Canis lupus familiaris: one gene and its partners. The protein of the gene in region 3 purifies or fractionates together with the protein of the main gene of each other region. This does not show direct contact. Links are inferred from orthologs where the notes say so. Each region holds a gene or a part of one and is shown on either strand. Other genes may lie near its edges.

Region 1 (3,647 bases), on a different chromosome or scaffold from region 3:
TCCCTGATAAGTCACCCTGGCCTGGCAGTAACTCTCCAACCAGAGGTTACTACTCCTCTCAAGTTGGCCCTCTCCTTTTTCTCCTTTGCAGTTCTAGAAACTGCTCCTTTCTCTTATCCCCTCAGGCCTAGGGATGAAAACAATTACACTGTTACTGATCTCAGATTACAGTACCTTGTAGTTCACCTATACCCCATTCATCTTTGTATATAATTCTTTAAGCTAATTTGAGTGTACCAACTATTCCCTGTGTGATCTTGATATAGTAGTCTTATTTTATTTTTTTTCTTGGGTTTACTGGACCCTTATTATCTTTAAAAATAAAACCTGAAAAAGCAGACATTATAAAAATTGGCACTTGAAGAGTTTATTATGAAACACTGGAGTATTTTGCTAAATTTTATTTCTAAAAGTAAGATGACCATTTATCAAGCAAACTGGAAACACTTCAGAAATTCGGATACAGTAAAATGCATTTCTTTTTTAACTAAAAATATCAGTAATGTAGTCTAATCATACATACTCTCACTTCTCTACTTAGGGTACCCAAGACATTTCCTTTGATTTCTTAACATTAGATGCTTTACTGATGATGAATCTTTCCGTAATTATTGTACATACATGGATGGACATCCACGCTCACTATTTCTGCATGTAATAAATGTTATCCACCCGTAATACCATACCTCTTCCAGTTTTGTTTTTGTTTTTTTTTTTAATTAGAGGATCTACAAGAAACAAAATACCTTCTTTCTGATTTCCAAATTCTGATCTCCAGAAAATGAACCTTACTGGGCAGGGCAGGGGGTGGGCTCAGCTACTATACACCAGTCAAGCAGATCTTTGGGAATAGTTCTGATGACTAATCAAATCAATCATAAAAAAGATCAAATGGCAACAAGTTCTAAGAAAATCAAAAGACCAGAGAAAATTACTTAGGAGAAAAAGTCTCATTCATTCAAAAGACAAAAAGAGATGAAATGGAAGAGACAGAATCCAAAACTTCAGTAAGAAAACATCAGGGAAAAAAAGTGACAAAATTATTATCAATGTAACAAACAGCTTCTTCTTATCGTTTGCTCTCTTGATATAAAGAGCAAAAACTTACCGAACTCAATAAAGGAATAGGGCCTAGACACAGTGGGCACCTTCTTCCCATGCTGTTCATCAAACTCTGAGTGCAAATCTTCCAGGTAGGCAAAAGCCAATTTCTTAGGGAAGGCAGCTTCACACAAAACCAAATAACAAACTCCCTGCTCAATAATGTAGCTGGAGAGACAAAAAAACAAGAAAAAGTTGTCTGTAAAATAACAATACCCCCAACAACTTGAAGCAGACTTTCAGTGCTTTACAAACTTTTGAAAATATTCTAGCCTAAGCCCTTTGAGGCTAGCTAAGTCAAAAAATCAACTTCAAACCACAAATGCTTAGAATCAGAAAGCAAACAATGTCCCATTATTAGAATTATATTCCAAAAGGAGTATCTAAACATGTTTATTATAATTGTTTATAATTCAGTAAAATATCTTAATACCTACGACTTTTTCTTGAAAACAGAGTTGTGACTCCATCTATCTTTTGATTATGTATGAAAACAACTGTGCGTGTGTGTGTGCGTATGTATTTTTTTTGTTTTTTTAGATTTTACATATTTGAGAGAGACAGAGAACATAAGCAGGGAGAGGGAGAAGTGACTCCCCACAGAGCTGGGAGCCCAATGTGGGGCTCAATCCCAGGATCATGACCTGAGACAAAGGCAGATGCTTAACTGATTAAGCCACCCAGCAGCCCCTGGTATACACATATTTAAACTCCTCCCAGTTACAAGAAAAACAGGGGAACTGGAAGTTGTTGTGGATACTTAGAATTTGGAAGTTAATGCTACAATGTTTACTGAGTACAGATAATGACCTTAGGACAAATAATATTCCCTAACTTCCAGGATAGAACTCTATATCAACTATCCAATATCAGAAACTATCCAATAACAGAACTGACTTCCTCTTATGAGCGTGAGCTCTCTGGCATTCTGGAAGGAATTATATAACTACATGTCTGAGAGGTATTGGAAAGAAGTTAGGTTACTCAGTGATTTTCAAATGTCTTTTTAGCTTTAGTATTCTTTTTATTTCAGCAATAATTATATTCAGAAGACCCAGTATGTACATCAAATAAAATCAGAAGGTCATCAGTTTAAGTGGAGTGTAAGGGCCCAAAGTACTATATATACCCCAATCCCTACTCTTACTATGAGGCTCCTTACACATCCTAGGACTCCACAGAGCAGTTTAGAGTGTATTATATAATCTCTCGGGCCCCTTAAAATGATGATGATGATGATGATGATGACGATGGTGAGACTGCTGTCCTATCTCTTGCTTGGGCATCTGAATCAACTGCTCCCAGACCATCTTCTAAATTACCAGTGTTATTCCTAAAGAGTAAATATGACTGTATTATCCTGCTTAAAAATTCTGAGGGTTCCCTAATTCTTTTTTTTTTTTTTTAAGTTTATTTATTTATGATAGGCACACAGTGAGAGAGAGAGAGGCAGAGACACAGGCAGAGGGAGAAGCAGGCTCCATGCACCGGGAGCCTGACGTGGGATTCGATCCCGGGTCTCCAGGATCGCGCCCTGGGCCAAAGGCAGGCACCAAACCGCTGCGCCACCCAGGGATCCCGGTTCCCTAATTCTTATAAAATAAAATCATACTCCTTGATATAATACTTGTGGCCTCCACAACAGGTGTAGGTCACATTATATCATGCTGTTCTCCAAACTTACGTTCTTTTATATCCTCATGGACTTCTGCTTATATATAAATATATATTTCTAATTTTTAGTATGTGTGCTGCCAAAGCAAGCACTACATATATATTTCTAACTGTAATATTCTTTGATGTACCTGGAGAAACTTTTGTTCATTTTCATATGCTTGATTCTACTATAATTTTTTCCATGAAATTTCTCTGTATTGTCCCTCGCTCTATCCCCTTGTCTCAAATGTATTCCCTACAAATGGAAATTTAATGCTTCCTTCCTTCTACTCAGTTTAATTTAACTGAATTATAGCACTTCTTGCCCTGCGGTATCATAGTTTAGTTGTCTGAATATGTGTTTCTCTCTGCTACTAAGATAAGCTCATAAGAGCTATGGATGTTAAAGGCAGAACTTAACATACGGTCTGGCAAAAAATAGATCTTTAATAAATAGTCCTTTGATGGAAATAACAGATGAGATGAGATTATAAAGTTCCTAAAGCAAACCACACAGAAGAAAAAAATTTCTTTTCAATTCCACTAGAACTTCCCTAGGTTTTTTGTTCCTAACCCATGGTAGAGATAAAGATACCATACCTATATAATTGGGTGCCTAGATTATTTTTGGATGTTAAAATTAGATTTATAGAAAAATGTTACATATACTATACAAATTAATACCTTATAAAACTTAATATCCACTACTTTCTTAACCAATAAACCAGGGTTTTGTTTTGATTTTGGTTTTGTATACTTGTTTGTTTCTGATGGGTGGAGGAGGGTTTTTTTTTTTTTTTTGCCTTTCAAGTTAAACACAGCAGGTCCCTCCCAGGTCTATTATCTTAGCCTCAGTTCCTAAAATAGTAATAAGGATTATTCAGCTAATC
Region 2 (3,603 bases), on a different chromosome or scaffold from region 3:
TGCCACCCAGGCTGGCATCCGACCCTGGGACACAGTGCTGAGCATGAGGACCAAGCCTGAGTCAGCAGGAGTTTCACGTCGAGCAGGGTTTTTCCGGGCACCTTTGTGGAGCTATCTACCCACTTAAGGTTCATTAGCTGCTGGGCACTGGCATCCCACACATCCACCATCGCACCAGGAACAGGGTGGGTAGGGACAAGCTCTTGGTCCTGAGGGCTCATATGCCTGGCAGTCAGGGAGTCATGGGTGCTGGCTAAGACCATGCAGGGGCGTCCAGGAGGCCTGTTCCTGGGGCACTTGCACGGGAGCCAAGCAGGAAAGGAAGAGGCCACGAGACCCTGAGGCTGTGCCAGGGAGTGTGCACTGGACCCCACAGCTTTCCTGAGGGCTACTGATGGACGGTAAGCAGAAGAGCCACAGAGGGGTGGCTACGGTGCAGACACACTGGGCAAATGTGAAAAGACGGCTCCAAGTGAAAGGGGGGTGGGGGGAGAAAGGAAGTGGGGGGGAGGGAGAGAGGTGGGGGAGGGGAGGGACGGAAGCTAAAGCAGCAGCTACAGACCAGCAGAGTGCTCAGGTACGACAGGGGGCTCCCACTCTCCTCAGGCCTGAGGACCCTAGGTCTGTGTTTAGTGAGTAGGGGCGGCTTCTCCCGCCCCCACAGCCCACACCCTGTGAGGGAGGCAGCAGGAATGGCAGGGAAGCAGAGCCACGGATCAGAAACCATCACGACTGGTAACCGCCCAGAACAGGGAGAGATCAGGGGCCACAACAAGGTCTCGGCTGAGGCCCTTGGGCAACAGGTGTTGAACTCAGATGGGTGCAAGCAGCACAGACCTGGAGGCGTCTAGGTGGTCTGGCTCTGAGGCCTCGGACACTCAGGAAGAGGTGGGCACCACCCCTCTCAGCCTAGCGCTGGCATGAGGGCTCCCCCAAGCCCAGACTGTGTGCCCAGTGGCTGGCTGAGATTTCCACCCCCACTCCTGGCTCTAGGATGCGCTCGCCCCTGCTCCTGCTCACCAGAATGATTTTGGTCTCGTCCAGCTCAGCCTGCACTTTAGTCATGGGGTCAGCTTCTCGGGGGTTCTAGGAAAGAGCCAAAAGTAACATCAGGAGGAGAGTGACCACCTGGAGACAAAGCTCAAACCAAACAAACCGGACATGTGGCCACGTTCACAGACCACAGGCTGCTCAAACACATGGCAGAGAAGGGAAAGCCCATCACGGAGCTCGGTTCCAGGTCTTACGTGCATCCCTGCATGTTTCACAGCGACACCGACACTAAGGCTGCCAGGAAGTTCCCCCACAGCCATGACCTCCAGGGCTGCTGGCTTTGCTGTACCACACAGCCTCTCCTGGAGGCTTCTGTACACCCTACCTGGTATCGACTCAGGTGGCCATCTAGGGCGGTGTAGTGGATGCTGGCAGGGGACCCGATAGGCCACTCTATCCTGTCCACCTGCTTGGAGAATTCGTCTAGAACCTGCAGGACAAAGGGACACATCAGTATCCGCGAGACCTGAAGAACACCTTGCTCAAGAGAGGCAGTCAGGGCCATGGGTGGAGGGAAGAGGAGGATGGCTCATGGCCAGGGGCAAATCTAAGTTCAAGTATTTAAAATCTATGGAAATTGGGACGCCTGGATGGCTCAGCAGTTGAGCATCTGCCTTTGGCTCAGGCCCTGATCCTGGGATCCAGGACTGAGTCCCACATTGGGCTCCTTGTGGGGAGCCTGCTTCTCCTTCAGCCTATGTTCTCTGTGACTCTCTCTCTCTCTCTCTTTCTCTCATGAATAAATAAAATCTTTAAAAAAATAAAAATAAAAAATAAAATCTCTGGAAATTAAGCACCAAGTATATCTAAACTGAAATGAACCTTGTCTGGAAAATAAAAGTATCAAAATTTTAAGCTACATATTTCCCCTTTTATTAGGTCACATGATTCTAGAAAAGAAAGTACTGGCCCTCTCATTTCCCAGAACAATTCTTCAAAAATGGAGCAAGATTTTTTGGATTTAAGCAACCAGCAGATTTCATGTGCTTATGGGTGTCAGTGCTTGGGGGCAGCAGGGGCCAGCATCCTCGAGGGGTTTATGACAAGCACCCCTCAAAGAACTGAAGAGCATGGAGGCACTAAGCCCCGTGCTGGTGCTGGTGCCGGCCCCATGTGGGGGACAGGAACACCCGGGGTGTGCAGGGATGACCTGACGGAGGGTGGTCGCCACAAGACAGAGCACAGCGTTGGCTGTGGCTCGGAGGGCAGAAGCAGAACAGTGGCCAGAGCAGCAGCCAGGGCTGAAAGTGCAGCCACAGGTGACCCGAGGGCCTGTCCCAGACACAAGCAGGATGAGGGGCAGAAATCAGAGCCAGTGAAGGAAATGGGGAAGGGATCCCAGACCGTCTCCTGGTTTAGGGCAAGAAAAAAACTGAAAATAGGTTGATTTTAGACACACTAATACACTACTCCCTCCCTTATACCTCGCGCTCTGCCCACACCTGTCCATCCAAGGCCCGCTTGGCCACAGCGCAAACTCACCTTCTCCAGCAAGGTAAAGGCCACCCGGGATGGATATTCGCTGTCAGCAATGACCACTCCTGCCAGACTGTCGTTTCGCACATAGACGTGGCACAGGTATTCTAAGGAGAGGATAGACACGCGGAAGGGGAAGTGAGAGTTTTGGCCATTTCACCCTGATCATCAAAGTGTCACAATGCTGAGCTCTTGCCCTGTGGGTCAGCGAGACTCACACAGGACAGCACGGGAGGGAGTGCTGCCACCAGCACGGCCCAACAACCGCTTCAGACAAGTCAATGCCCAGAGACCCTGTGTGCAAAGCCAGGGTGTAAAGGAGCCCCAGGGGTGCAGGAAACCTCCCAGGGGATGCAATTCCAGGCACATTTCCCAGTTAGATCCTGGAGCCCCAGCAAGGCTCAGCTCTGTCTAGGGGGTTGCACCTCTGATGCTCTGGCCTGTTCTCGAGCCAAGGAGACCCCAGACGAGTACAAAATGAGAGTGGCCTGGCCTCGCATCAGGAAATCGGGACATCAGGTTTCCTTCTTACAGCAATCCTGGCCCGTCCCCTGCTGTGGTGGGCTGGGGAGGTGAGGGAGGGAGAGAACAAGGAAAAAGAGAGGAGAGAAGGTCCATCTGCAAACAAATGTTCTCCAGCATTGCTGTGTGAAAGTCACTGAGTTATCTAAAGGCAGAGAGTGTATGAGTGCTTCTGAAAAACAGTCACCATTCCTGCTATGAATTTTTGTCCCTTTCAAAATAATCCAGACAGGATACAGCTAATCGTTCCCTCATGGAAAAAAGAACCTAAGGATTACACCTAACAAATAAGAACCTTCTTGTTCGGACAACACTCACGCAGAAGAGCCTGATGCTAAAGCTGGAGAAACGGGGAGATGGAGAGACCGCGAGCTCATGTCAGACTAGGGCAGCGATGGACAAAAGCAGGGCCACCGCTGCCCTCTGGACTCTGTCTACGATCCCAAGCAAGCAAGGCTCAAGCGTGCAGCCCAAGCACACACACTCCCCACAACCAGAGAAGCTGGCTCAGAGCCGCAGACACGGCCAGATCTGCCAGCATTCACAGTCCAA
Region 3 (3,747 bases):
CTGGGCTGTCTGAAGGGGCTGGCGGGCAGTGTCCGAGGATTACAGTGCCACCCTTCAAAGCCCCTCCTAGCCTCCTGTGGCTTGGACAGAGTCTTGAGGATACACAGGATCCAGAATCCACGGGGCCTGGAGCATAAGGTGAGAGCTGGTTGCCTCGTGTGTCCCCATCCAGGTTTTTGTTTCAGTGTGCTTGCCTCCCTAAGGCTCCTGATCTTTTGTAGGTTTATCTCAAGTCTCAACTGAACTGCCTTCTTCTGTCAGGCAGGGATAACTGGGAGGTAAGCAGCTGGTCTGTGGGAGTAAGGACACAGGTGTGAGCATTTCCCTGGGGAGAGAAAAAAAAAAAAACAGTGGCTGGAACTGTCTCCTTGTCTGCCAAGTTACTGAAGTTCTCTGAGGAGTGTTAATAGTTATATTCCTGATAGGGTTACTGCCGAGGGTTGACATAGCATGGATGGGAATAGTGTCTGGCAGCAGGAAATAAAAGCGATTATTTCCCAGCTGGATCCTTCTTCCCTGTGTATCTGTTTCTGTGTCCCTGACTCCTCTAACCTTTCTCCCCCTGCCAGGATGAGCCCCAAGAGGCCAAAAAGGCACCACCGGAAGACACAGAGACAGATGAACTTTGGGCCTCCTTGGAGGCAGCTGCCAAGCGGACGCTCCCTGATTCGGAGCAGACCCAAGGGGCTCTCCAAACCAGACGGAGAAAAAAGCAGCGGCCTGGGTCCACCAGCGCCTGAAGAGCCTATGCTCACTTTGTAAATAAACAGCTCAACACCCGCCATGACCCTGAGCCTTTTGTGATGGGAGAAAGGAAAGAGGGGTGGCTGCTCCCTACACTGGTGCAGTAGGATATCTGACGTCACAAAAGCCAGGCCCGGGAGCCTGGTGGGTTGGCGTGGGTGGCACGGAGTTGGGGGCCGCTCGGGGCCATGGGCTGCTGCCAAGACAAGGACTTCCAGACGGATGAGCCGGCCTCGGAGGAAGTCGAAGGTGGGACCCAAGACACACCAACGGGCCCCAGGGAACGGGAGAAGGGGTTGCTCTGACAGGACCGCCCAGGAGGTTGAACCCCGGAGGGCAAAGCAGAGCTCAGCGGCTTTATCATCTCCGCAGGCTCTGAAGAGGTCCACATGGGCCCGCCCGACCACCGGAATCAGAGGTCGAATGAAAGCCTCCTGATCACTGTGCTGTGGCGGCGGCTATCCCTGTTCAGCCGTCGGGGCTCAAGCAAGAGACAATCCGCCCAGAGTCAAAAGCAGGGATTGCAGGAGAGCAACCAGGAGGGGATCCTGGAGGAGCCGGAGAAGGGGTGACCCCAGCCCTGCTCTCAGTCTGCCCCAGCCTCCAGAGAATAAAGTTTCTAACGTGTACCTGCCCAGTACAAGCGCCCCTGCTGCCCGTTTTGCGGATGGCTTTTGGGCACCGCAGGGGCTGCGGGCTCTTTAAGGCTCCTCTGCTGAGATTGGCCCAGCCCCCTGGGCTCCGGCCCTGGCTCCTCGGGGGCGGGGTCGCGGGCGGCCTAGCCAATGGGAGGGCGGAGTCGCTCCGGCGTTTGGTGGGAGGGCGTGTCTCTCGGTCGCCGGGCTCCGAGAGGCGTAGCGCCGCCCTCCCGTCACCGGGGGTGGGGCTACGTGTGGGTGACGTGGCGGCTCCTAGTCTTTGGTCGGATTTCGGCGGATTCGGCGCTCGGGGAGGAGGCGGTGACCACCCAGGAGACTGTGGCAGTGGTGGCGGCGGCAGGCGGCAGAGAGGAGGTAGGACTCGCTCCAGAAGGGGCCTGGCTGCCGTGTCCGCTCCGGGCAGCGGCTTTCCGGGGGCGGTGACGTGAAGGGGGAAGGGAACCTGGGGCGAGCGGGCTAGTCTTGCCGGCCGGGCTCGGGGTGAGGGAATACTTCGCCGTCCAATCAGGAAAGCCCCTGTTGAGAAAGACGTCGGCATTAGCCAATCACTGGTTGCAGTCCCCCAGGAGGCGGGACTTGGGCGGGGGAGGAACTTCCTGTTTCAAATAAACACCCAGAGATTTCCCCCCCCTCCGCCTACCGAAGTGTGTCCCCCTCAGGAGGCCGGTCACCGTTTCTCCCTGAGGAGTCGAAGGGATCTGCGGATACGAGAGGGCCCGGTTAGGACCTAGGGCAGTTGCACAGGGCGGGCTGGAGCCTCGGGGCCCCGGGACCTGCCTCTGGCCCCGTCTCGGCTTCAAGGCCCCCGGCCCCGCGCTCTGGCCGCCCGAGCCAAGTTGGAAGAGTCTGAGGAGCTGGACCGGCTGGGCCAGAGAGCGGGGCCCTGCCCGCCGCCGTGGGCCGGGCCCAGAATTTGCGGGTGGCTTTTGGGCGCGAAAGTCCGTGCCAAGTGCAGAAGGGGCCCAAGGATTTGCGGTGGGGACGGGGGATTTGTGGGGAAGGAGGCCACCTGGGGAATGACACTCTGCCCTCCACAACAGTCCGAGGTTATGCGTCTCAATGATCCCGCGGAAACGCTACGGGTCTAAGAACACGGATCAGGGTGTCTACCTGGGTCTCTCAAAGACACAGGTCCTGTCCCCTGCAACTGCTGGCAGTAGCAGCAGCGACATCGCCCCTCTGCCCCCCCCAGTGGCCCTGGTCCCTCCCCCTCCCAACACCATGTCCTGCCGAGATCGGACCCAGGAGTTCCTGTCTGCCTGCAAGTCCCTGCAGAGCCGTCAGGTAAGGACCAGGAGTGGGAAAGGCAGGAGTGAGCCTTACTGAAATCTAGGAGAGGCTGTGCTCCAGCACTGTTGATTGACATGATGGAGAACTGATCTGGCTTAGAGGGGGCAGTAGGATCTACTAAGCAACAGAAAAGGGGTGGATCAGCTGTCTAGGAGCAAGGACTTACGCTGTTTTGTGAGAAATTACCCCAGAGGGTAGCCTTGCTACTCTGGAAGGAGTATCTCAGGATGAAAGGTGGCTGCGGTATATTTGATTTGGATAAGAAAGAGGTTCTAGAGAGAGCCTTTAGCTCAGAGACAGACACTTTGAATTCTAGTTCTGGAATAGTCCCATCATAAGTTTGCTCTGTGGCCACAGGGAAGTTAGTCTAGTTGGGCCTCAGGGTTTTTTGGGTGTGTGGGGTTTTGTTTGTTTGTTTGTTTTAAAGTAGGCTCCTGTCCAGTGCCGAGCCCAACACAAGGCTTGAACTCCTGACCTGGAGATCAAGACTGGAACTGAGAGCAGGAGTCAGAGGCTTAGCCAACTGAGCCACCAGGCACCCCTGGGCCTCGGTTTTTATATCTATAGAATGAAAAGAGCTTTCTCAATAAGTAATTTTTATCAAAATTACTTTAGAGTGCTTTTTTTTTTTTTTAATTAGATTCCCTTTTTTCAGTCCAGACGTCCTAATCAAAGTGGGACCTGAGTGACTTTAGATAATAGATAATTACTTTAGTAATTTTAGATATTTTTATTGCTCAGCACTTAACAGCCGCTCTTCCGTATGATCTCCAAGAGCTTTCTAGTTATCCTCTTTGATTTCCTGATTGGAGGAATAGAATGGCAATAGTGCTTATCACTTATTTAGGGCTTACAACGTATGGGGTATCTGACTAAAATACTCTATAGTCCTATGTTGTGTGATCTTACCAACAAGAATAGGTGTGTGGATTTTCTTCATCTTATACAAAAGGAAAAGAGATTCAGAATGGTTTAAGGCACTTACCCCAAACCTCCCAGCTGATAAATGGTGGAGTCAAGATTTGAACCTTGGTCTACCCATGTTCAAATCTGA

The links.
Region 1: the proteins of STX5 (region 3) and SEC22B purify together in Homo sapiens (co-immunoprecipitation; 4 studies listed by BioGRID and IntAct, counting the BioPlex papers as one, with this or other methods). This does not show direct contact. The link is inferred for Canis lupus familiaris from reciprocal best matches to the Homo sapiens genes STX5 and SEC22B.
Region 2: the proteins of STX5 (region 3) and YKT6 purify together in Homo sapiens (affinity purification with mass spectrometry; 3 studies listed by BioGRID and IntAct, with this or other methods). This does not show direct contact. The link is inferred for Canis lupus familiaris from reciprocal best matches to the Homo sapiens genes STX5 and YKT6.

What each region holds. Positions count from the first base shown.
Region 1 is NC_049238.1:57,690,876-57,694,522, forward strand, and holds part of SEC22B (vesicle-trafficking protein SEC22b), read right to left. Parts: intron 1,270-3,647; coding exon 1,109-1,269; intron 1-1,108. UniProt on the Homo sapiens protein: SNARE involved in targeting and fusion of ER-derived transport vesicles with the Golgi complex as well as Golgi-derived retrograde transport vesicles with the ER.
Region 2 is NC_049237.1:14,336,084-14,339,686, forward strand, and holds part of YKT6 (synaptobrevin homolog YKT6), read right to left. Parts: intron 2,637-3,603; coding exon 2,536-2,636; intron 1,484-2,535; coding exon 1,379-1,483; intron 1,087-1,378; coding exon 1,021-1,086; intron 1-1,020. UniProt on the Homo sapiens protein: Vesicular soluble NSF attachment protein receptor (v-SNARE) mediating vesicle docking and fusion to a specific acceptor cellular compartment. Functions in endoplasmic reticulum to Golgi transport; as part of a SNARE complex composed of GOSR1, GOSR2 and STX5.
Region 3 is NC_049239.1:54,380,723-54,384,469, forward strand, and holds the start of STX5 (syntaxin-5), read left to right. Parts: upstream 1-1,514; 5' UTR 1,515-1,529; coding exon 1,530-1,757; intron 1,758-1,967; exon of another isoform or gene 1,968-2,122; intron 2,123-2,443; exon of another isoform or gene 2,444-2,462; coding exon of another isoform or gene 2,463-2,687; intron 2,688-3,747. Other genes in the region: WDR74 (WD repeat-containing protein 74), read left to right, coding at 1-138, 222-278, 570-740; testis-expressed protein 54-like, read left to right, coding at 933-993, 1,117-1,316. UniProt on the Homo sapiens protein: Mediates endoplasmic reticulum to Golgi transport.